Arabidopsis thaliana: one gene and its partners. The protein of the gene in region 1 interacts with the protein of each later gene in a pairwise test. Each region holds a gene or a part of one and is shown in the gene's direction. Other genes may lie near its edges. The genes, in order: NAC050, AT5G15040, SNL3 and ZR3.

Region 1 (5,700 bases):
ACAAATCTTACCCTGAAATATGCAACCTGTTACCGGAATTGAAATTTCATAACACACTATTCTCAGCTCTTCAAGATTCAGTGTTTCATTCGTGAAGACGAATGCATGTTGTTCTAGTCTCGATACGAGAAACTGCGTTTATGAAAATAAGAAAAAGAAGAATAAATTAGCATGGGCTTGATTTACACCCGTCCGTCACCGAAATGGGCTACAAATAAATCATGGGCTTTTAATATTCTAACTTAGAAGAAATTTGGCCCATTGCTTAAACACGAGGCACAAACCATATATTTTTTTTGAGCCAAAAAAAAAAGTCTTGATATTTTAGCATTTTGTCCTTTTTGGAGACAGTGGTGTCAGATAGCTGACAACCTATATAAATAAATAAATAAAATAGAGTTTTCTTTTACTCTTACTTTCTTTATTAGTTTCATAATAATATGTGTAAAAGTAAGAGTTGGATATTTTTCGTTTTAATTTCTGCCTTCGAATTAGTTACGCATACAAAGCATAAGAGACAAGAGACATAGCGTACCAAAAAAGAAGAAAATAGTGCAAAAATATCATATAGTTTTCTGGTACGCCTCATCAATTCCACCCCCGTACACCATAATTATATAGAATTTCAATATCGAAATGTCGACAGCAACAAAATTCAACATGTCGAATAATATTGTTTTAAATATTCCATTTTACTAGAAGATGAAAAAAAGAGAGAAGAAAGTAACCTTTTGTCTTTGTCACCTTGACTTAAACAGTAATACAAACCCCACAAGTAAATTATTCAAGTTCAAATCGTAGTTAATGTTTATATTTGAGAATTGCAAATGGTTTAAACGAAAACCAAACTACGAATTACAAATTTGAAGAGGACTTGTACTAGAAAATAAATAGAGAAAAGAAGAATAATAAATAGTAACAGAAAATGGGAAAGATGATGATTCGTGTGGACCAAGTCTCTCCTCCCCTTTAGCTTGCCTTATTGGTAAAGTATCCTCCTGCAAGCAAACGTATCTGTCACTCCTTTTTTATTTTCTTTCACCTTCTATCTTATTCTCATTAATTCTTCTTTTTTGGTCAACTTCATGTATAGAAAATAATACCAAAATTTTTTGATATAGTAAAACTATTAGAACTGAATTTCAAACAAAAATAATACAAATTTAAGCAAAAAAATATTAAAAATAAATTTTAAAGAATATTTTTACATATAATAAATATACATAGTTGATACTTTTATATAATTATTAATTTATGATATTAATGAGACCATATATTTACATAGAACATTCAAAATAATTATTATCTTATTAATCTATCGATATATATCACTTTTTATACTAGTTTTTGGAATCTTAATAATTTATTAATTTGTAGAAGTTATTAATTTATAGAGGTTTTACTGTACATGTCAGCATTTAACTTTTGATAAGCACAAAACCATTACATATTTTCCAACCAGATTATTTTCTATTTATCCTAGCGTTTGTAAATCTTTGAACTACAATAATTTATCAAATACAATATAAGATTTTTATACTAAAGATGTATACAATGCATTTAACATTAAAGGAAACAAATAAACTCTAATCTTTTAAAAAAATACTTTACCTTTTAAAAAGAGTTATTAATCACATAAGCAATATTTAATTTTTCATTATTTTTTTCATCATCTGTCTAACATATTACTTTTTAAAAAATATTTATCGTTGGATACTTACTTTTCAGACCACACACTAGGACTAGTGGTTCCTTTATTTTACTGCATAGAACGACAACAAAAAGCTAAGCAGTAACATTTTTTAGGGTTTTATTACTGCAACACTCAAAAATGAGAAATTATTATTAAAATTGAAAATGAAAAATAGTAATCGCAATCCGAAATTACTTTTTTTCTAGCCTTCTAGGAACTCGAAAAGAAAGCAAATTTCTTGCAATTGAAGGTACCTGCTTCTCTTTTTCTGGTTTGTCTGGTTTCATATTAAAAAAAACATTTTGACAACTATATTTCTGGTTTGTCTGAAAAAATTGAGAAGAAAACCTAGAAACAAATACGGTCTTTTTTTTTTCTTTTTATGGGTCGCGAATCTCTGGCTGTTGTGTCCTCGCCGCCATCGGCGACTGCGCCCAGTACTGCTGTGTCGGCTACCTCGCTTGCTCCTGGCTTTCGATTTCATCCGACTGATGAGGAACTCGTGAGCTATTACTTGAAGAGGAAGGTTCTGGGTAAACCTGTACGCTTCGATGCGATTGGAGAGGTAGATATCTACAAGCATGAGCCCTGGGATTTAGCAGGTTCGTTAGGTTTCTTCTTCTTCATTTCTGCTTATCTCTATGATTTGGGGGTTTCTGTGAATTTGATGCTTCTGATTTGGGATTTTTGTCGCCTGGGCTTATTGGTTGTTCCGTCTTCTGGCTCAATTCTGGGAAATGAGTTTAGCTTTTACGTGCTCCGATTCGTTTTCTGGGAAATTTTTTGTTGCAGAGAAGATTCTCTGTTCGTACCTGGCGCTAAGTTTAGGCAATTAGGCTTTAACACTGTGAAGACATTCCATCCAATTGACTTCTTAACTGAAGAAAGTCGAATTTTCTTCAGATTGCTTTAAGAATTTCGTGTTTGCTTGTGCTACAGTTATGTTTGCTTGTGCTACAGTTATGTTTGCTTGTGGATCAGGAAATGAAGTTTGTTGCTTGTGTGTTTGGCTATCTGAAGTGTTCTCAAGTATGATCTGAAAGAAAAAAAACCTTGTGATGTGTTGTGTGTTTCAGTGTTTTCGAAGTTGAAAACTCGGGACCAAGAATGGTACTTCTTCAGTGCGTTAGATAAGAAGTACGGTAATGGTGCTAGGATGAATCGAGCAACTAACAAAGGGTACTGGAAAGCAACTGGAAAAGACAGAGAAATCCGCCGGGATATTCAGTTGCTCGGTATGAAAAAGACGCTTGTTTTCCACAGCGGGCGTGCTCCAGACGGCCTTCGGACTAATTGGGTCATGCACGAGTATCGCCTTGTGGAATATGAAACTGAAACTAACGGAAGCCTGCTGGTATTATGTTGTCCAAAAGAGTTACTTTTGAATTGGGGTTATCTCATTTTGTAAGAATCCTATCTTATCTTACTTCTTTGTCTGGGTGCAGCAGGATGCATATGTGTTGTGCAGAGTGTTTCACAAGAATAACATTGGGCCACCAAGTGGGAACAGATATGCGCCATTCATGGAAGAAGAATGGGCTGATGGTGGAGGAGCTCTGATTCCAGGAATAGACGTTAGGGTCAGGGTAGAGGCTCTACCACAAGCCAATGGAAACAACCAGATGGACCAGGTTTGTACTTTCTTTATACTCAAATGTTTCTTATATGCATAACCTCTGTGATACATCCCTCTAATGTGAATCATCTCTCTTGATTCACAAGATATTATATTTCTTATTGCAAAAGCTCTTTGCTTCTCTAAGTGCTGTTTCAGTGGGCTGATTTACTTAAACTGCACAATTCCATTAAGTTTGCTATCACCTTTTGTAGAACTCAGCTCAACCTTACAGCTTTATCTAATGAAAGGTCTCTCTTGATTCACAAGATATCTAATTTTTCTTTATGGTCCTTTTTCTTTGAGATTTATCCTTTGATTACATGATATTTCAGACTTACAATCTTCGTTTGGCATTAAAGGTGCTCAACAAGAGAAATATTTATTGTGTTTTGGTTAATCTGCAAAGTCGATCAACGCGTTTTGGTTTGAGATATTTTATGTCTGTTGGGGTTCACATAACTTGTAATTTGTTGTAGGAAATGCATTCAGCAAGCAAGGATCTCATTAACATCAACGAGCTACCGAGAGATGCTACTCCAATGGACATCGAACCTAACCAACAGAATCATCATGAGAGTGCCTTCAAGCCACAGGAGAGTAACAACCATAGTGGTTATGAAGAAGATGAGGACACACTCAAACGCGAGCACGCAGAAGAAGATGAGCGTCCTCCTTCTCTATGCATTCTCAACAAAGAAGCTCCACTACCTCTCCTGCAATACAAACGTAGACGCCAAAACGAGTCCAACAACAACTCAAGCAGGAACACACAGGACCATTGTTCGTCCACAATAACAACCGTCGACAATACAACCACCTTAATCTCATCATCTGCTGCTGCTGCTACCAACACTGCCATCTCTGCATTGCTTGAGTTCTCACTTATGGGTATCTCCGACAAGAAAGAAAACCAGCAGAAAGAGGAAACTTCTCCTCCTAGTCCAATTGCATCTCCTGAAGAGAAGGTTAATGATCTCCAGAAGGAGGTTCACCAGATGTCTGTTGAAAGAGAAACTTTCAAGCTTGAGATGATGAGTGCAGAGGCTATGATCAGCATTCTCCAGTCAAGAATCGATGCGCTGCGTCAGGAGAACGAGGAACTTAAGAAGAAGAACGCCAGTGGACAAGCTAGTTAAACCACCGCAACATCTCTCCAGGTGTCTTCTTCTTCTTCTTCTTCTTCTTTGCCTCTTAGCTGTAATCTTCTTAATAGTATGAGCTATGGATGTAGCTTCTTCAGACGGATCAGAAACCTTATGAATCTCTGTTGTAAAATTAGGATAAAACGGAACGGAGCCAACCAACTAGGTCTTTTTATTTTATCCTTTTTTACTTTGGATGTTTCTGCATCTTTTGGGAACATTTTCAGGCTGATCCATTGTCGTATATTATCATCTATCTATCTAGTCTTTTCAGACAAGAACTCGCTTTTGTTTGGTTTCCTCTCAAGAAATGTTCAGTCTCCATAAAGAAAGCTTTTTCCTTGGGGTAATCATTAGTGGTCAGATATGAGGGCATAATCGTCATTGTCATTTGAAATGACCTTCTGGTCTTCCGGACAAGAACCACTCTGTTGCTTGATGTTTCTGTGTGACTGTCTCCACAGTCCACAGGGAAGAGAGCTTCTTAGGTAAAGTCGTGATTAGTGGAAATGATTGAGGGTATAATCGTCATTGACTAATTCAGCGTTACGATTTAGGAATGTGGTTCCGTCAACGACGTTAGAAGACTTTTGTTACACGTAATTTGCAATTATTTGTTTTTTCTCTAAAAGCGAAAAGCGCTTGGTACGATTCAAGCCTGGATTCCATCTCTCTCCCATTAAGTTTTCAAGAAGAAGTTTTGATCACAGACGTATTTTCGAAATGGTTTCATATCTTACTAGGCAATGGAATTTCGTAGGTGTTATAGAGTTTGGTGTTTATATTTTACTTTTAACTACATCGTCCTATTATACGGAACCTGTCTTTTTTTTTTCCACACGGAACCCTGAATGATTGTACTTTTTGGTAGGTTTGTTCTTTATTCGAGAGTTGTAAAAAAACATTATTTACTTTTAAGATGACTACGAAAGTGTAATTTACTAAATTACTTTTCATTATTTACTCCCAAGTATAATTTACTACAAAAAGCTACGCAGTAAAATTTTGCTAGGGTTTATTACTGCGACATAATGAAATGTAAATCGAAAATTGGTATCGCAATCCAAAATACTTTTTTGTTGCTCTCTACTAGCCTGCCTTTCTGGGAACGCGAAAAGAAAGACAAAATTTTCTTGCAATTGAAGGTACCTCAAATCTTGTGCTTATCTCTTTGGTTTCTTCTTCGTCAAACCATCTGCCCAACTTGTGTTTTTGTTCTTCAGGTGAGGTTTGGTGAAAGGGAAATT
Region 2 (4,000 bases), on another chromosome or scaffold:
TAATGGCGCTTTATCATCCCAACAACCAGTACGTTGTTCATCTCGATCGGGAATCTTCACCGGAGGAACGATTGGATCTCAGTGGTTTTGTGGCGAATCATACTCTGTTTCAGAGATTTCAAAATGTTCGGATGATTGTTAAGGCTAATTTCGTTACGTATCGTGGTCCAACTATGGTGGCTAATACACTTCACGCTGCAGCGATTTTGCTTCGTGAAGGTGGTGATTGGGATTGGTTCATCAATCTCAGTGCCTCTGATTATCCTCTCGTAACACAAGATGGTAACGAAATTTAGATCTTATAATCTCAGACTCTGTTTATTGTTTTAATTGAATCATTTGAGGTTTATTATGTCGATTCGATTTTCAGATCTGTTGCATACGTTTTCGTATCTTCCTCGAGATCTCAATTTCATCGATCATACAAGCAACATTGGCTGGAAAGAGTGAGTTTAGCTAGCTACATTACAATCTACAACAGTTTGTTTTTGGCAACTTTCTCTGATAATTTTGGTAAAAACTTGTATAGGTCTCATAGAGCAAAGCCTATAATTATTGATCCTGGTTTGTATATGTCAAAGAAAGCTGATGTTTTCTGGGTTTCACAGAAGAGAAGTATGCCTACAGCTTTCAAACTCTTCACAGGTGCTTTCATTTTTCATAATCTTTCCTGTTTTGGGTAATCAACATAATGGGAATGTCTAAATGTAGAGTCTTCCTTAAATGTAGGATCCTTGTTACACTCATTGATGTGATATAACAATTCTTAGGCTCTAATGGTTTTTTGATGTTGTTGGTTAATAGGATCTGCGTGGATGATGTTATCTAGACCTTTTGTGGATTATTTCATATGGGGATGGGATAATCTTCCTCGAATTGTGTTAATGTATTACGCAAACTTCCTTTCATCGCCAGAAGGTTACTTCCACACTGTGATTTGCAATGCTCGAGAGTTTACCAACACAACGGTTAACAGTGACTTACATTTCATCTCATGGGACAATCCTCCAAAGCAACATCCTCACCATCTTACATTAGATGATTTCCAGAGAATGGTGGACAGTAACGCTCCTTTTGCTAGGAAATTCCGTAGAGATGAGCCTGTTCTCGATAAGATTGATTCGGAACTATTGTTTCGGAGTCACGGGATGGTCACTCCGGGTGGTTGGTGTATTGGTACGAGGGAAAACGGGAGCGATCCGTGTGCGGTGATTGGTGATACGTCGGTTATTAAACCTGGTCTTGGAGCTAAACGGATCGAGAAACTCATAACTTATTTGTTATCTACTGAGAATTTCAGACCACGGCAATGCCGGTAATGGCAAATTAGAGTTTTGTCATAGAGATGGTTACGTGGTTTTTCACACAAATGAACTGTATTGATTATCCGATACTTTGATATGGTTGTATAGAGATCTTTTTGGACTTTCTTCATTTGAGAAAGTGCAGAAATTTCGGGAAAGATCATTGATTATTGGAATTTGTCTTCTATTGCCGACCTAAAGTTTGGCCTTTTCCAACTTGATACCAATTTTATAGGTTTGTCACATATTAGTCATGTCCTTTTTATTGTTTGCATGATGAAGTTACCTGACTATTGTGACTAACATATAGGTGTTTCATTGATATTATTGCTTTTGAATTAATTTGATACATGATTCAATAACTCACATTGATATTGTTGTTTTAAATTTATAGATATACACCCATGTGACTAAGTGCAAATTACATGAGGGCCTATTGATGGTCACTACTCATTCCATGTGACTGACTGGTGGCAAAGATTTGGTTTGAATTTGATTTATCAAATGTTTTGGAAATATTATATTACTCAAGAAGTCAAGATTATATTACTTCTGCTCTGATTTTTTATTATCAAAGATTCTTAATGATAAACAAAAATCTCTAAAAGTCTGACATGTAAAATTTATTCAAAAAATCATCATAGCAGAAGCAAGAAGCTTATCAAATGAACATAGTAAAATGTCACAAAAATATATATAATGGCTCTCATTCAAAGCTGTCACATAACATTAAATATATATTTCATTAAAATGTCACAAAAATAGCAGAAGCAAAAATATATTTATATTTCTAACAAGAATCCATATCGAATACTGACAAATAAACAATTGAGAACAGAGTTTGGTCTAAAATTCTCAGTCACGGTTTCATATACGGACCAATTGTGGCAGTATTTGCTCATCAACTGAAACTGTAACAAAATATCCATATTAGTAAATATAAAACAAAGAAGAAATGCAGATGAATACTTACAATAAGGCCTAACCTCGACCTATAAAAGCCCATTATTAATTTAGGCCCAACGACGTTACGAAGAGAAACGTACGGCACCATTTGGCGCCTTTATTTATAATTTGTTTGTCATGCGTTGTGATTTGGGTCTCTTCTCATCACAAGTCGCAACGCTTAATCGTATCTGCCTAGAACATTTTCTGGTACATGTATGTATAATCGTCGGTGATGGAAGTGTTTCTTCTTCTAGATTCTGCTCTCGCTTCAAAGATCTGATTGATTTGTTTCATATCTTTCCAAGTAACCTCTCTAATTGTTTATCTTTTGTTTATCCCTGATGCAATAAACGTTCCAAGCGGACTCCTGATGCAATAAACGTTCCAAGGTCTCGAAGGTTAGTTTCCTAATCTTTAAGTGTGTTGGTGCTATCGTGGGTTGTTTTTGGGCTACTTGTTGCTTGTCTAAAGATAACTGTAAACTTTCAAAACTTGCGACTCTCTGAATTCCTCTTTTGGCTTGTGGGCGAATTGTTAGTTTTCTTTATTACGTGAATGTGTAGGAACATGTTATAATGTCTGTCTCTATTGTTCTTTGGGTTTTGGTGCAGGCATGGAAGAAGAAGAGACATTATGGCTGAATGTAGGGCATACTTTATGGAAGTGAAAGATACGTTTCATGATCAAATTGAAAAATATGATATGTTCAAGAATATTTTGTTAGATTTGAAGGCACGAAGGTAAGATGATTGCTTTTTTTTTTTTTTTGGTTTAGCCTTAAGGTTTTGATGAGTTTGCTCAAAGAATTTCTTGCATTCACAGGATTGGTCGTCATACTGCGTTTGCTCAATTGAAAGAGTTGTTCAAGGAGCACAACGAATTGATTATCGGATTTAACACCTTTTTGCCAACTGGATACAAGATAGCTCTTGATGATGACGTAGAAGACTCTTTTAGCTCGACTGCAAGAAACTATTGAAATTATCTTGTCATATTTTTTCTACTCAAATGATACGATCAAAATCTCTAAATTAGTCTCTCTATTCAGTTCTTGATGGTTTATCGAGTATCTTTGCTTTGCCATGCATGTAGGAATTTCACTATGATAAAGTTTGACCTTTTGCTATCTTCTTTACGTCCACTTAATTTCTTTATTTACTTAATTTGACCTTCGGCAAAAGCATTATTATCTACTTATTATTTTTTATTCTTAATGAAAAAAAAAACTGAAGTATATATGAAATTTGTAATATTCTAACGAGAAGTTAAAATCATAGATTGAAAAAAGAACTATATTGAGATCATAGTTTGATTGTTACAAATACTAAAAATCATTAAGAATTTCTTCATCATATCGTTGCAGTATTTTCTCATCAACTGATACAATAACAATTCAAAAAAAAAGTGAAAACGATTTTATTCCTTTTTATTAATGTTTATTTTTTAGCTGTCAAATAAAAGAGAGAGCATATTCTACAGAACTTCAGGGATGAAAAAAGGCCTCTTTATATATATAGCCTTACACTATGATCACATTGGTTCTACAGTATGATGTTACAAATACTAAAAATCACAAAGATTTCTCTCCATCATATTGTTGCTGTATTTGCTGATCAAATGTAACCAAAAATATCCAAAAAGTCAAATATTAAAACAAAGAAAATAAGAATAGCGAGATGAATACTTAAATAAGGCCTAACTACGGCCTATAAAAGCCCATTATTTATTATAGGCCCAAATAAGTTACG
Region 3 (8,137 bases), on another chromosome or scaffold:
AAATATGACGAGTTTCTTCAGATCATGATAGATTATAAAACTCAGAGGTTAAAGTTCTTTCTACTTTTATGTTTGCATTTGGTCTTGGTTTAGGTAAAACTCCATGGTTTCTGAGAACTGATTACCGACTATTGTGTTGTATAGAATTGATATATCTGGTGTTATAATAAGGATGAAAGAACTCTTGAAAGAACAACAAGGATTACTTTTGGGTTTCAATGCCTTCTTACCAAATGGTTATATGATCACACATCATGAACAACCTTCACAGAAGAAACCTGTCGAGTTAGGGGAAGCAATTAGTTTTATTAACAAGATTAAGGTATATATGTTTATGTGTTATAAACTGTCCAAGGAAATTACTGCTTTTCCCTTTCCTACTCTCTTAGTTATTCATTCATTTGCAGACAAGGTTTCAGGGCGATGATCGTGTATACAAATCAGTTTTAGACATTTTAAACATGTACAGAAAGGATAGGAAGCCCATCACCGCGGTCTACCGGGAGGTAGGCTCATTGATTCATACTAAGTTTTTTTTTTTTTATTGCTAATATTTTACTTAGTTTCACACGTTTATCTTATCAGGTTGCCATCCTATTTCTAGATCATAACAATTTGCTTGTGGAGTTTACTCACTTTCTGCCTGCTACTCCAGCTACTCCAGCAACAGCCTTGTTGCATTCACAGTTTTGCATAGATCATCCTGATTTGCTTGAAGAGTTGGATTGCTTTCTGCCAACTATTTCTCAGAGTTTTTTGTGACGAAAGGATTGCTATGTTACTTCAATCGCTTCACATATAAGTAGTTTTTTTTTTTTAAAGTTACAAGTCAGAGATAATAGTAGAGGTTTTTTCTTTTTAATATGCATGATTAATAGCTTTCTTTTCCCTATAAATTATAGCCACTATCAAAATTCAAAATTACCATCATCTATAGTTATTCAATGCTTTTTTTTTTACCTAGTTATTTCAATGCTTACCTATGAGTTTACTATGTGTAACATGAGGATAAGGGTTATCGGAATTATTCTACGAACAAGGTGACAAAGTTTTCGGTCTACCGGAAAGATAGTAATGCCGATAAAAAAAAAATGAATTTAAAAGGCGAATAATATGTTCCGTTTTTATGGTTTTAATCAAGTTAGAGTTAAATTATTCTTCTATTAATGTTAGCCAAATATTATTTTTTAGATTTAAGCAAAATCTAACCGTGTAATGTAATATAGATTCCATTTACATCAATGATTTTAGAACATTTTTTCCCCATTAATAATTTTGATAGGTTTTGCATTAAGTAATTAACTTAGAAATTTTAAGAAAAAACATCTATGTTGACCAAAATAAAGAGAAAAAAAACATCTATTAATAATATGATTAATCATCTAAAACTTTTTAATTACAAAATTATTTCCAAAAAAAATGAATAATTTATTTTATATCAAAAATTTTCAAAATTAAGTATGTCTCTCTCACATACCAAAGGAGATAAAAACTTCCAAAAGAAAAAAAATGTTAAAAATAATAAAAGAAGAAGATAAATTATAAGTCTCCTAAAATGATACAACCAACAAAAGGAAGTAATAAAAACAAGAAAATACAACTTTGATTTTTATTTTATTTTTTGTCAACAGAAAAATGAAATAAGTAAGTAAACGAAAAATTTAGCGAACGAGAAAGTGTATTAAATATGTAGATTTTAATTTACTTAAGAAGACGTAAAACTCCTTTGAGAGAAATCTCAATCCTTTCTTCATAAAAACATAAAACTCTCGTTTGCTCAGTGAGTCTTTTCTTTCTGTCTGAAAATTGTTGAATAGTTTTTGTCTTCTCAGCTGTTTCGTCGGAGGAAGCTTCTTCTTCTAGACTTCTTCTTCTTCTTCTTCTTCGTCTTCTCTGAATTTCTTCGGTAAACTCTCTAACACATAAACGATGATGATCTTCTTTCGTTTTTTATCCTTTCTGTTTGATTTTTGGGTATTACAATTTTAATCGTGAACTGAATGTGAAATAATCTGAGGATTAAGTTAAGATCGATTTTTTCTGGTCCGTCTCCTTTTGTTTTTTCTTCATAAATTGTTTCTGTAGCTGCTAGATCTACAGGTGTTGCTTATTGGGATGAAATTCAAGTTCGGTTCTTTGAATTTTCCTTGTTTATGTGATTGATTTTGAGTTTTACTAGGTTTTGATTTGTAGATGAACATGAAGAAAGTTGTTTTCAGCTTTTGTTCTTTTGCTGAATCCCAAATTTTACTTGAATTCTCTAAAGAAACGTTCTTTGGTCTTATGAGATGTTGAATAGCTTTCTAAATGATCTGTTTTTTTTAATGGTAATGAAGCTCTGTTCAACTTCAAACACCATGGTTGGAGGAGGAAGTGCTCAGAAGCTAACTACAAACGACGCTCTTGCATATCTTAAAGCCGTGAAGGACAAATTTCAGGATCAACGTGGAAAATATGACGAGTTTCTCGAGGTTATGAAGAATTTTAAATCTCAAAGGTATAGTTTTTTTCTTCTCCTTGTTATGTTTAGGTTAAAAACTTGGTATCTGAGAACTGATTGCTTAATTGTGTTTTTCATTGTAGAGTTGATACAGCTGGTGTGATAACTAGGGTAAAAGAACTTTTCAAAGGACACCAAGAGTTGATTTTGGGGTTTAATACTTTCTTGCCTAAGGGTTTTGAGATCACACTTCAACCTGAGGATGGACAACCTCCACTGAAGAAACGTGTTGAGTTTGAGGAAGCTATTAGCTTTGTTAACAAGATTAAGGTATATATATGTTTATGTGCTAAACTGTCTCAAGGAAATTACTGCTTTTCCCTTTCTTACTCTCTTCGATATTCATTGATTTGCAGACAAGGTTTCAGGGAGATGATCGTGTATACAAATCATTTTTAGACATTTTAAACATGTACAGAAGGGATAGCAAGTCCATCACTGAGGTCTACCAGGAGGTAGGCTCATTGATGCTGTTATGTGTATCTTTTTTTTGTTGCTATTCTGTACTTAGGTTTTACATGTCTATCTCAGGTTGCGATCCTATTTCGGGATCATTCAGATCTGCTCGTGGAGTTTACTCACTTTCTACCTGATACTTCAGCAACGGCCTCTATTCCATCTGTTAAAACTTCAGTTCGTGAGAGAGGGGTTTCTCTGGCTGATAAGGTTCTTCTCAGACTTTTATTTTCCTAGAAATACAATGTTCTATATGTCTAATCTTTTATTGAACATCATTTGATTGGAAATTGTTGCAGAAGGACCGGATCATTACTCCACATCCTGACCATGACTATGGTACTGAACATATTGACCAGGACCGGGAGAGACCTATTAAGAAAGAAAATAAAGAACACATGAGAGGTACTAACAAAGAAAATGAGCATAGGGATGCCAGAGATTTCGAACCACATAGCAAAAAAGAGCAATTTCTCAACAAGAAGCAGAAACTACATATTAGAGGCGATGATCCTGCTGAAATTTCCAATCAAAGTAAACTTTCTGGAGCGGTTCCTAGTTCATCTACTTATGATGAAAAAGGTGCCATGAAAAGTGAGTTCTCGTTTTATGACAACTAATTTGAAAGATAAGGAGTGAGTTTGTCGTTCGCTATTCCATGTGTACTTATATTTGTTTGATGTGATGTCAGGTTACAGTCAAGATCTAGCTATTGTCGATAGAGTAAAGGAAAAGCTTAACGCCTCAGAGTACCAGGAGTTTTTACGTTGTCTTAATCTCTTTTCAAAAGAGATAATCAGCCGACCAGAACTGCAATCTTTGGTATGAATAAATAAAATGCTTAAATTTTCACTGTGGCATTTGTTTGCAATGATTCATGAACATTTGTGCTTGTATCAGGTAGGGAATTTAATCGGAGTATATCCTGACCTCATGGATTCCTTTATAGAGTTTTTGGTGCAATGTGAAAAGAATGGTAACGAGGCAAATCTATGTTTCTCTCTTCCTACATTCATTGATTTCAGAAAAAAGACAGATTTGTAACCTTTTGAATCTTCTTGCAGAAGGACTGCTCTCTGGTATTCTGACTAAGAGTAAGTCTACTTATCTTTTGCAAGGGTACATGAATCTGATGCTGAGATATATTTGAAGTATTCACGAGTAGTGAAACTACACAACTCCACTATGAAATTTGATCTTCTTTCCAGATATATCCATTTCTAGTTCTGAAAAGAAAACAAATCCATTCTAAACTATACTGCAGAATCCTTGTGGAGTGAAGGCAAATATCCTCAACCGTCACTGGACAATGATAGAGACCAGGAACATAAGAGAGATGACGGGCTTAGAGATAGAGATCATGAAAAGGAAAGGCTTGAAAAAGCAGCTGCAAATCTGAAATGGGCAAAGCCAATCAGTGAACTAGATCTCTCGAACTGTGAACAATGCACTCCTAGTTATCGGTTACTTCCAAAGAATGTATGTGGCTGCAGCCTTTTATATGTGGATCTACTATTCTTGAGTTCATCTTTTGTTTCATTAGTCTAATGTAAGACATTATACTTTTTGCAGTACCCAATTTCTATTGCAAGCCAGAAGACAGAGATCGGTAAACTGGTTCTTAATGATCACTGGGTCTCCGTCACATCAGGAAGTGAAGATTATTCATTTAGCCACATGCGTAAGAACCAGTATGAAGAGAGCCTCTTCAAATGTGAGGATGACAGGTTGGTTAATCAACTTCTAATGGTGGACTGGAAACCTATATTCCATACTTTAAAAAAAAAAATTGGTTACTGACCTGTTATTGTGAGCCATTTTCTGTGTCAAATTGTGAGCCATTATTCCTCTCTTTATGCTATAGGTTTGAGCTGGACATGCTATTAGAGTCTGTAAATTCAACGACAAAGCATGTGGAAGAATTATTGACAAAAATTAACAGTAATGAACTGAAAACCAACAGTCCCATCCGTGTCGAGGATCACCTCACAGGTAACATAAGCTGGTGTAAAACAATAAGCAGCATGGATGTTAAATCACTAGCAGCTGAGCTCTTTAAATTTTTTTTTTTTTTTAATGGATTGCTTTGTTACTGTCTTTGTAGCTCTAAACTTAAGATGCATAGAACGGTTGTATGGTGATCACGGGCTCGATGTGATGGATGTGCTGAAGAAGAACGTGTCTCTTGCTTTACCTGTTATCCTAACACGTTTGAAACAGAAGCAAGAAGAGTGGGCAAGGTGTCGTTCTGATTTTGACAAAGTCTGGGCTGAGATATATGCTAAGAATTACTACAAGTCGCTTGATCATCGAAGTTTCTACTTCAAACAGCAGGATTCAAAGAAGCTGAGCATGAAAGGTTTGTCCGTAACCTATTACACACATTATTCTATTATATCAAGCAAGTGACTTTATGTACTATATTTTTTCTGTAGCATTGTTGGCAGAGATAAAAGAGATTACTGAAAAGAAGCGAGAGGATGATTCACTTCTTGCATTTGCAGCCGGAAATAGACTATCCATTTCCCCAGATTTGGAGTTTGATTATCCGGATCATGACCTTCATGAAGATCTTTACCAGCTGATCAAATATTCGTGTGCAGAAATGTGCTCTACCGAACAGTTAGATAAGGTAATGAAGATTTGGACAACTTTCGTGGAACAAATATTTGGTGTTCCTTCTCGCCCTCAAGGTGCTGAAGACCAAGAAGACGTTGTCAAGTCCATGAACCAGAATGTAAAGAGCGGTAGTTCAAGTGCTGGCGAGAGTGAGGGAAGTCCTCACAATTACGCTAGTGTTGCCGACTCTAGACGCTCAAAGTCATCTCGAAAAGCTAATGAACATAGTCAGTTGGGGCAAACTAGTAATTCGGAGAGGGATGGCGCCGCTGGTAGGACATCAGATGCCTTATGTGAGACTGCTCAGCATGAGAAAATGCTGAAGAATGTAGTTACGTCTGATGAAAAGCCTGAAAGCAAGCAAGCTGTTTCTATTGAGCGTGCACACGATTCAACTGCTCTCGCTGTGGATGGATTATTAGATCAAAGTAATGGAGGAAGCAGTATAGTACACATGACCGGTAACACCTCAAAATCTTGCTTAGAAGTTAGTTCTCTTGGAATTTTTCATTTTCTTTGTACAGTTAATGAATAGTTTCCTCTTTACTTGGTCAGGACATTGCAATAATAATCTGAAGCCTGTGACCTGTGGAACAGAGTTGGAGTTGAAAATGAATGATGGTAATGGGCCAAAATTAGAGGTATAGTTTCAGTGAAGCACGTTTTAGTCCCATCATCTTATATTTTGATCTGATACTTTCTATATAGATGACTCATTTCAAATGAAGGACCGAATTTTGTTGATATGGAACAATATCTCCCATTGTTTGCACTTGGTGCTTAGGTCCTTCATATGGAACTTAGATAGTTTTAAAATTTGAAGTTACACACCCTTAGTTCTGTGTTAACCAAGAGGTGGTACTGATAAACTTTGTCTCACAGGTTGGTAACAAGAAGTTATTGACAAATGGGATCGCGGTAGAAATAACAAGTGACCAAGAGATGGCAGGAACATCCAAAGTTGAAAGAGAAGAAGGTGAACTTTCTCCAAATGGAGACTTTGAGGAAGATAATTTTGCAGTTTATGCAAAAACTGATTTTGAGACCTTCAGCAAAGCGAATGATAGTACTGGAAATAACATTAGCGGAGATAGAAGTAGAGAAGGGGAACCATCTTGTCTGGAGACAAGGGCTGAGAATGACGCTGAAGGTGACGAAAACGCCGCAAGATCATCAGAGGACAGCAGAAATGAATATGAGAACGGTGATGTTTCTGGAACGGAATCTGGTGGTGGTGAAGATCCGGAGGATGATTTGGATAACAATAACAAAGGAGAAAGCGAAGGTGAGGCTGAATGTATGGCTGATGCACATGATGCTGAAGAAAATGGGTCTGCCTTACCCGTTTCAGCACGATTCTTGCTGCATGTAAAGCCCTTAGTAAAGTATGTTCCTTCAGCTATAGCTTTGCATGACAAGGACAAAGACTCTCTGAAGAACTCCCAAGTTTTCTATGGAAATGATTCGTTTTACGTGCTTTTCAGGCTGCACCGGGTAAGAGCTAAAGATCATATACAGTTTGAAAAAATTATAAACAGTATAATCTAAAGTACAAAGAGTTTTCACTAGCTAACTTTACGCTATTACTCTTGACAGATATTGTATGAGAGAATACTATCAGCAAAAGTTAACTCATCATCCCCGGAAGGAAAGTGGAGGACCTCAAATACCAAAAATCCTACTGATTCCTATGCTAGGTGAAATTTGCTTTTTATTGCAGAGATTGTGTGTGTTTCTGGGATTCATATGTGCTCCATACTTATAACTTTAATTAATGTGGAACAGATTCATGACTGCACTCTACAACTTACTTGATGGTACATCTGATAATGCCAAGTTTGAAGATGACTGCCGAGCGATAATCGGGACTCAGTCTTATATTCTCTTCACATTGGACAAACTGATCCATAAATTCATCAAGCATGTGAGTATTTTTGCTCTTTGATGTTTTCTCTATGTATTCACCTCTCTATCTTTACTTGCTTTTTACTAACATACGTGTGGTCATTCTTCAGCTACAAGTAGTAGTAGCTGATGAGATGGACAACAAGCTTCTTCAGCTTTATTTTTATGAGAAATCCAGAAGGCCTGAAACGATTTTTGATGCTGTGTATTACGATAATACCCGTGTCCTCCTCCCTGATGAGAATATTTACCGTATTGAATGTGTAAGTTTTTGCTGCATCTTACATTAGCTACTTATATTCTGTCGATGCACTGCTGATCATGCTTTTGGACTCCAAAACCTCATGTGTATGCAGAGATTATCAACCCCAGCGAAACTCTCTATTCAGCTTATGTGCAACGGTCTTGATAAGCCCGATGTGACATCTGTATCCATTGACCCGACCTTTGCAGCTTATCTCCACAATGACTTCCTCTCCATACAACCAAATGCAAGGGAGGATCGCAGAATCTATTTAAATAGGTAAATGTAAAACATGAACAAATGACTGTCCCTTGATCTCTGAAACCTAGTGGGTCACTCATCAAAGCCAATGCCATTTTTCGTTTTCTCCAGGAACAAGCGCAAAGTTTGTCGTGAAGATGAACAGTTATACA
Region 4 (4,203 bases), about 17 Mb from region 1:
GTTTGTTCAATTTGTCAGCCTTGATAGCACGCACCGACGAAGGCTGAATACCATGTATCATCACCCGTTTCTTATCCCATTTAAACTGCATTGTCAACAATGTGAAATCCCATGTAATAGGACCTAGAGGTTTCAACCAATGTACACCCAAAACTGCATCAATTCCTTTCAAAGGAATTACCATAAAGTCAGCTACAAAAGTCGTGTTATGAATCTCCCACTTAAAATTCTGTATTCTCGCTATCACCTTCAGATTGTAACCATCAGCCACCCGTACTCTTGCATTATCACTAGGTAGGAGTGAGCAACCCAACTTCTTTGCCATTTGAGGATCCATAAAATTGTGAGTGGAACCCGAATCAACCAACATAAAAATGGATCTCTTCTGACTTGTACCCTTAACTCGCATAGTGTTGTAAGTTGAGATACCCTCCATAGCATGAGTTGAGATATGAGCTACTTCCCCAACTAACTCCTTATGCTCTTCTTCTGCATCCAAGAACACTTCCTCAGCATCTTCCATTTCCAAAACAAACAATTGTGTTTTCTTGTGAATCTTATAATGTTCAGATGTGTATTGTTCATCACAAAAATAACACAATCCTTTAGCTCTCCTAGCACTCATCTCTTCAGTAGATAAGAACCGCCTTGGCTGATTTTGTTGTGTGTCTCTTGGTTTTTCCTGAAACGCTGGTTTATTGCCCTGCTGCTCCATGTCTTTCTTAAAGGAGAACTGGCCCTTTGAAGTAGCCTTATTGTTCTTCCAAGAAGTCGCATTGTTCTGCACAGGATGAGCAGTTTCATAGAGACGTCCCAACATCAAACACTGCCGCACCGTTTGGGGTTGAAACATTCGGATATGCATCTGTGTCTCAATCCTTAACCCAACCAAATACGCACTCACTAAATAATCCTCCGTCATCCTTACTCGAGTCCGGATCGCCTCAAACTTTGCGTGATAGTCATCAATGCTAGCAGCTGTTTCCTGCAACTTCTTCAGCTCAGCAATAGGATCCTCTCCAACCATCTCAAACCTCTCCCTGATCCTAGCTTTGTACACACCCCACTCAGGAACCTGCACTTCATCCTCAATCATATTCTGGTGCCAAGTAGCAGCCAGACCATCCAAATGAATAGAAACTACAGACACTCGCATCTCTTCAGGTATAGGATCCACCGCAAAAAATTGATCAACCTTAAACAACCATTCCTTAACCTTCTCACCACTGAATCTGGGAAAATCCAACTTCCCTAACCTTGTTACTCCCGAATGATTGTTAGCGTGACCTTGCCTTCTCATGTAATCCACGTCTGTTGCTGAAGCGGATGAAGCACGAGCTGTTTGATGAGTCTCACCCAGATTTGACTGCTTAGATGGAGACAGCATGTGGATCGCCTCAAACATCTCCGAGATATGGCGCTCGATCTTCAGATTTTGAGCATCGATCTTGCTCTCGATCTTCTCCATCTGTGACTCCATCGATTCCTCTGCTTCTAACGCCTTCTCTCGACGAGCTTGAGCTAACTCCTGAGCTCGAGTCTCGATCACCATCTCCGAGAAACGTCTTTGCTCTGATACCTTTAATACAGTAAAACCACACCACAACACAATCAATCAACCAAAGCAATCATCAACAACTCCGATTACTTATTATTACGATGTAAATAACAAATGAAATCCAATGTTCATAAAACAAGGGATTTCTGGATTCACCTCGCAAGAATCGACGTTCTATGCAGAGGATGAATCTCGGAATGTTTTCAGAGAGAAAGGAATAACAACAACTTCAACGATAACATGAAAATACGATGACACTTGATATTTATTAGCTTCAGCTCTACGCACACTTAATTTGAATCACAGCCGTCCATTGATCTTCTAATCACAGCCGTCCACGTGGCCTTACTCAATATCCTGTATCACACACATTATTCTCCTGCTTGTTCTGATTTTTTTTTTCTTTTTTCTTTTCTAGATAAGATTTCAATTCACAAATTTCTTTTTCCTCACGTAAAAAAAAGAAGAAAAAGGTCGGTCTACTTGTGGCTCACTCAGTGGTTCGAACCTGGGTTTAGATTTTGACTTGACCATAACGAAAACTAACTCTAATGATTAAAAAGGCTTCTTTTATTGTGCTCCGATTCCAAAATTTCACGGAAAATAGAAGCGTCGAGTTCCTCCTCTCCCTCAGGTTGTCAATGGCCGCTAGGTTACTTGCTTTGAGACGCGCTTTGTCTCTTTTCAGCAACCAACAACATCGTTTTCCTTTGTCTCAAGGTTTCATCTCTCTCCTTCTCAACTTTGTCATCTTTAAGAAAAATTAAAGAGTTATTGAAAATCGGGCACTAGAGTTAAACTGGTCTCTTAATCTGTGTAATTTATACTTGCCTTGATGTTTCTTTTGATGAATTTGGTTGAGATTCATGTAAATTTGTGGTTTTTATGTTTGAATTTACACTAGAAGAGGATTTTGGGGAGATTTTGGTTTTAGGGTTGTTTTTGTAGCTTTTAGAGATTTGGGGCATTAGTGATGATGAGTACTCGTATTCTCATGTGTATATCATCTAATATCGTCTTTGCTCTGTTACATTTTGGAGTTAGAGAAGTGCTTCTACGAAACCTGAAGTTATGAATGCTCACATAAGTGCTTTGTCTTCAACATATCTCTATGCATTAAGCAGTAGCTGTGAACATTGGCATTTCAGCTAGACGCTGGTTAAGTTTTCAAGTTTGGTTATATATTTCCTGACTAAGATGTGTTAGCATTAGTCTACGGTTTGATGCAAACATTATCCTAGGAGGTTCCTATGATGTCCTGTTATGGTACAGACTGTTTTAGCTTCGTGCAACTACAACTACTGTTAAATTGATCTTTCTTGATTATCTTTTTTTTTTTGAAAATAGTCTCAACAGAGCAGTTGTCGCTATCAAACTCACTCTTCAGCAGAAGTCATGTTTATGGAAGATTATTTCAGAGACAGTTATCTGTAATCCGTGAGGCAAATGAAGCTTCTGTAACCAATGTCTGCAACTCGTCAAACTCTGCTACTGAATCGGCCAAAGTTCCCTCCCCTGCGACGCCCTCTGAGGAAATGATGGTGAAGTACAAGTCCCAGTTAAAAATAAACCCGAGGCATGACTTCATGATGGTCTTCACTTGCAAGGTCTGTGATACAAGATCTATGAAGATGGCGAGCCGAGAATCATATGAAAACGGCGTTGTGGTGGTACGATGTGGAGGGTGTGATAATCTACATTTGATTGCAGACCGTCGTGGTTGGTTTGGAGAACCAGGAAGCGTGGAGGACTTCCTTGCTTCTCAAGGGGAAGAATTCAAGAAAGGATCCATGGATTCTCTTAACCTAACTCCTGAAGATTTAGCTGGAGGAAAGATTTCTACTGAATAAGGAGTGATCTTCTTTGCTTTTGCTACTTAACCATTATGGAACAGAACTTCACCTTATGTTCCAGTATTATAATTGTTTCTTGTAGTTCACTGTTTGGTAACATTTAAATGCAGAAGATGTTTAATACAATTATGTGTTTGGAATGTTCCATATAGGTTGAGATGTTCCATTGATTTAAGACAGAAACAAAATCTCAAGAGAAACAAAATAAGAATCTCAAGATTGATCAGTTTTAGGTGTTCAACTTCTCAATGATCTTTGCAAGGGCTGAATATGTGCCAATGACTGAACATACTGCTCCTACTGTCATAATTAAGATACAGATTGTCACCTGCAAACAAACCACAGATTGTTATATCGATTTCAGTTTGAGGAATTTCGATATTCGGTTTGGTTATCAGTAAGTGAGCAGGCCATACCTGAGTAGGGGTTACTTTTTTCCTTAAGATGCTCAAGAAACAAGCTGGCGGTAGTATCAGCGTCTGTGTCCAGAAACTTTGTCAGGCTAAGCAAATTCACTATGAAACTGCAATATGAGAATTTGCTTTACATAACCAGAAAAGGATGAAACAAATGTGTAACTTACAATGAGCATTGTCAAGAATGATCCAATCAGTGACATGACAAGGCCTGCAAGAATTCTGAGTGTCAAAAGAAGTGACACTTATTTTCTTTACATGTATATTTTTCGTTTGTCCTTACCGAAGAAGGGAATCGCAAGACCAACGAGCAGAGTAGAGATGGCTAATGCACTTCTAATGGCGATTGCGTAGAAACGTGACTTCCCATAGTTTG

Evidence for each region.
Region 2: the proteins of NAC050 (region 1) and AT5G15040 interact in a two-hybrid assay, tested with the Arabidopsis thaliana proteins (one large-scale study listed by BioGRID).
Region 3: the proteins of NAC050 (region 1) and SNL3 interact in a two-hybrid assay, tested with the Arabidopsis thaliana proteins (one large-scale study listed by BioGRID).
Region 4: the proteins of NAC050 (region 1) and ZR3 interact in a two-hybrid assay, tested with the Arabidopsis thaliana proteins (one large-scale study listed by BioGRID).

What each region holds. Positions count from the first base shown.
Region 1 is NC_003074.8:3,262,335-3,268,034, forward strand, and holds NAC050 (NAC domain containing protein 50), read left to right. Parts: upstream 1-2,013; 5' UTR 2,014-2,075; coding exon 2,076-2,295; intron 2,296-2,485; coding exon 2,486-2,515; intron 2,516-2,596; coding exon 2,597-2,665; intron 2,666-2,769; coding exon 2,770-3,047; intron 3,048-3,138; coding exon 3,139-3,324; intron 3,325-3,467; coding exon 3,468-3,559; intron 3,560-3,670; coding exon 3,671-3,716; intron 3,717-3,787; coding exon 3,788-4,447; 3' UTR 4,448-4,756; downstream 4,757-5,700. UniProt on the Arabidopsis thaliana protein: Transcriptional repressor that binds to the motif 5'-(C/T)A(C/A)G-3' in the promoter of target genes. Also binds to the 5'-CTTGNNNNNCAAG-3' consensus sequence in chromatin.
Region 2 is NC_003076.8:4,869,139-4,873,138, reverse strand, and holds AT5G15040 (Paired amphipathic helix (PAH2) superfamily protein), read left to right. Parts: upstream 1-2,397; 5' UTR 2,398-2,650; intron 2,651-2,863; 5' UTR 2,864-2,885; coding exon 2,886-2,992; intron 2,993-3,074; coding exon 3,075-3,231; 3' UTR 3,232-3,385; downstream 3,386-4,000. Other genes in the region: AT5G15050 (Core-2/I-branching beta-1,6-N-acetylglucosaminyltransferase family protein), read left to right, coding at 1-282, 371-446, 530-645, 805-1,319.
Region 3 is NC_003070.9:8,564,148-8,572,284, reverse strand, and holds the start of SNL3 (SIN3-like 3), read left to right. Parts: upstream 1-1,748; 5' UTR 1,749-1,906; intron 1,907-2,336; 5' UTR 2,337-2,357; coding exon 2,358-2,497; intron 2,498-2,583; coding exon 2,584-2,770; intron 2,771-2,856; coding exon 2,857-2,955; intron 2,956-3,031; coding exon 3,032-3,166; intron 3,167-3,255; coding exon 3,256-3,550; intron 3,551-3,647; coding exon 3,648-3,778; intron 3,779-3,856; coding exon 3,857-3,932; intron 3,933-4,020; coding exon 4,021-4,050; coding exon of another isoform or gene 4,051-4,075; intron 4,076-4,220; coding exon 4,221-4,435; intron 4,436-4,528; coding exon 4,529-4,683; intron 4,684-4,820; coding exon 4,821-4,948; intron 4,949-5,060; coding exon 5,061-5,315; intron 5,316-5,391; coding exon 5,392-6,036; intron 6,037-6,130; coding exon 6,131-6,216; intron 6,217-6,457; coding exon 6,458-7,069; intron 7,070-7,171; coding exon 7,172-7,272; intron 7,273-7,360; coding exon 7,361-7,499; intron 7,500-7,590; coding exon 7,591-7,743; and 4 more. Other genes in the region: AT1G24200 (Paired amphipathic helix (PAH2) superfamily protein), read left to right, coding at 1-47, 145-322, 408-506, 586-654, 1,008-1,112. UniProt on the Arabidopsis thaliana protein: Acts as a transcriptional repressor. Interacts with ERF7 to repress genes in abscisic acid and drought stress responses. The heterodimer represses transcription by tethering SNL3 to DNA.
Region 4 is NC_003074.8:20,308,245-20,312,447, forward strand, and holds ZR3 (Zim17-type zinc finger protein), read left to right. Parts: upstream 1-2,024; 5' UTR 2,025-2,109; coding exon 2,110-2,278; intron 2,279-2,905; coding exon 2,906-3,408; 3' UTR 3,409-3,610; downstream 3,611-4,203. Other genes in the region: AT3G54830 (Transmembrane amino acid transporter family protein), read right to left, coding at 3,657-3,739, 3,828-3,903, 3,995-4,038, 4,111-4,203.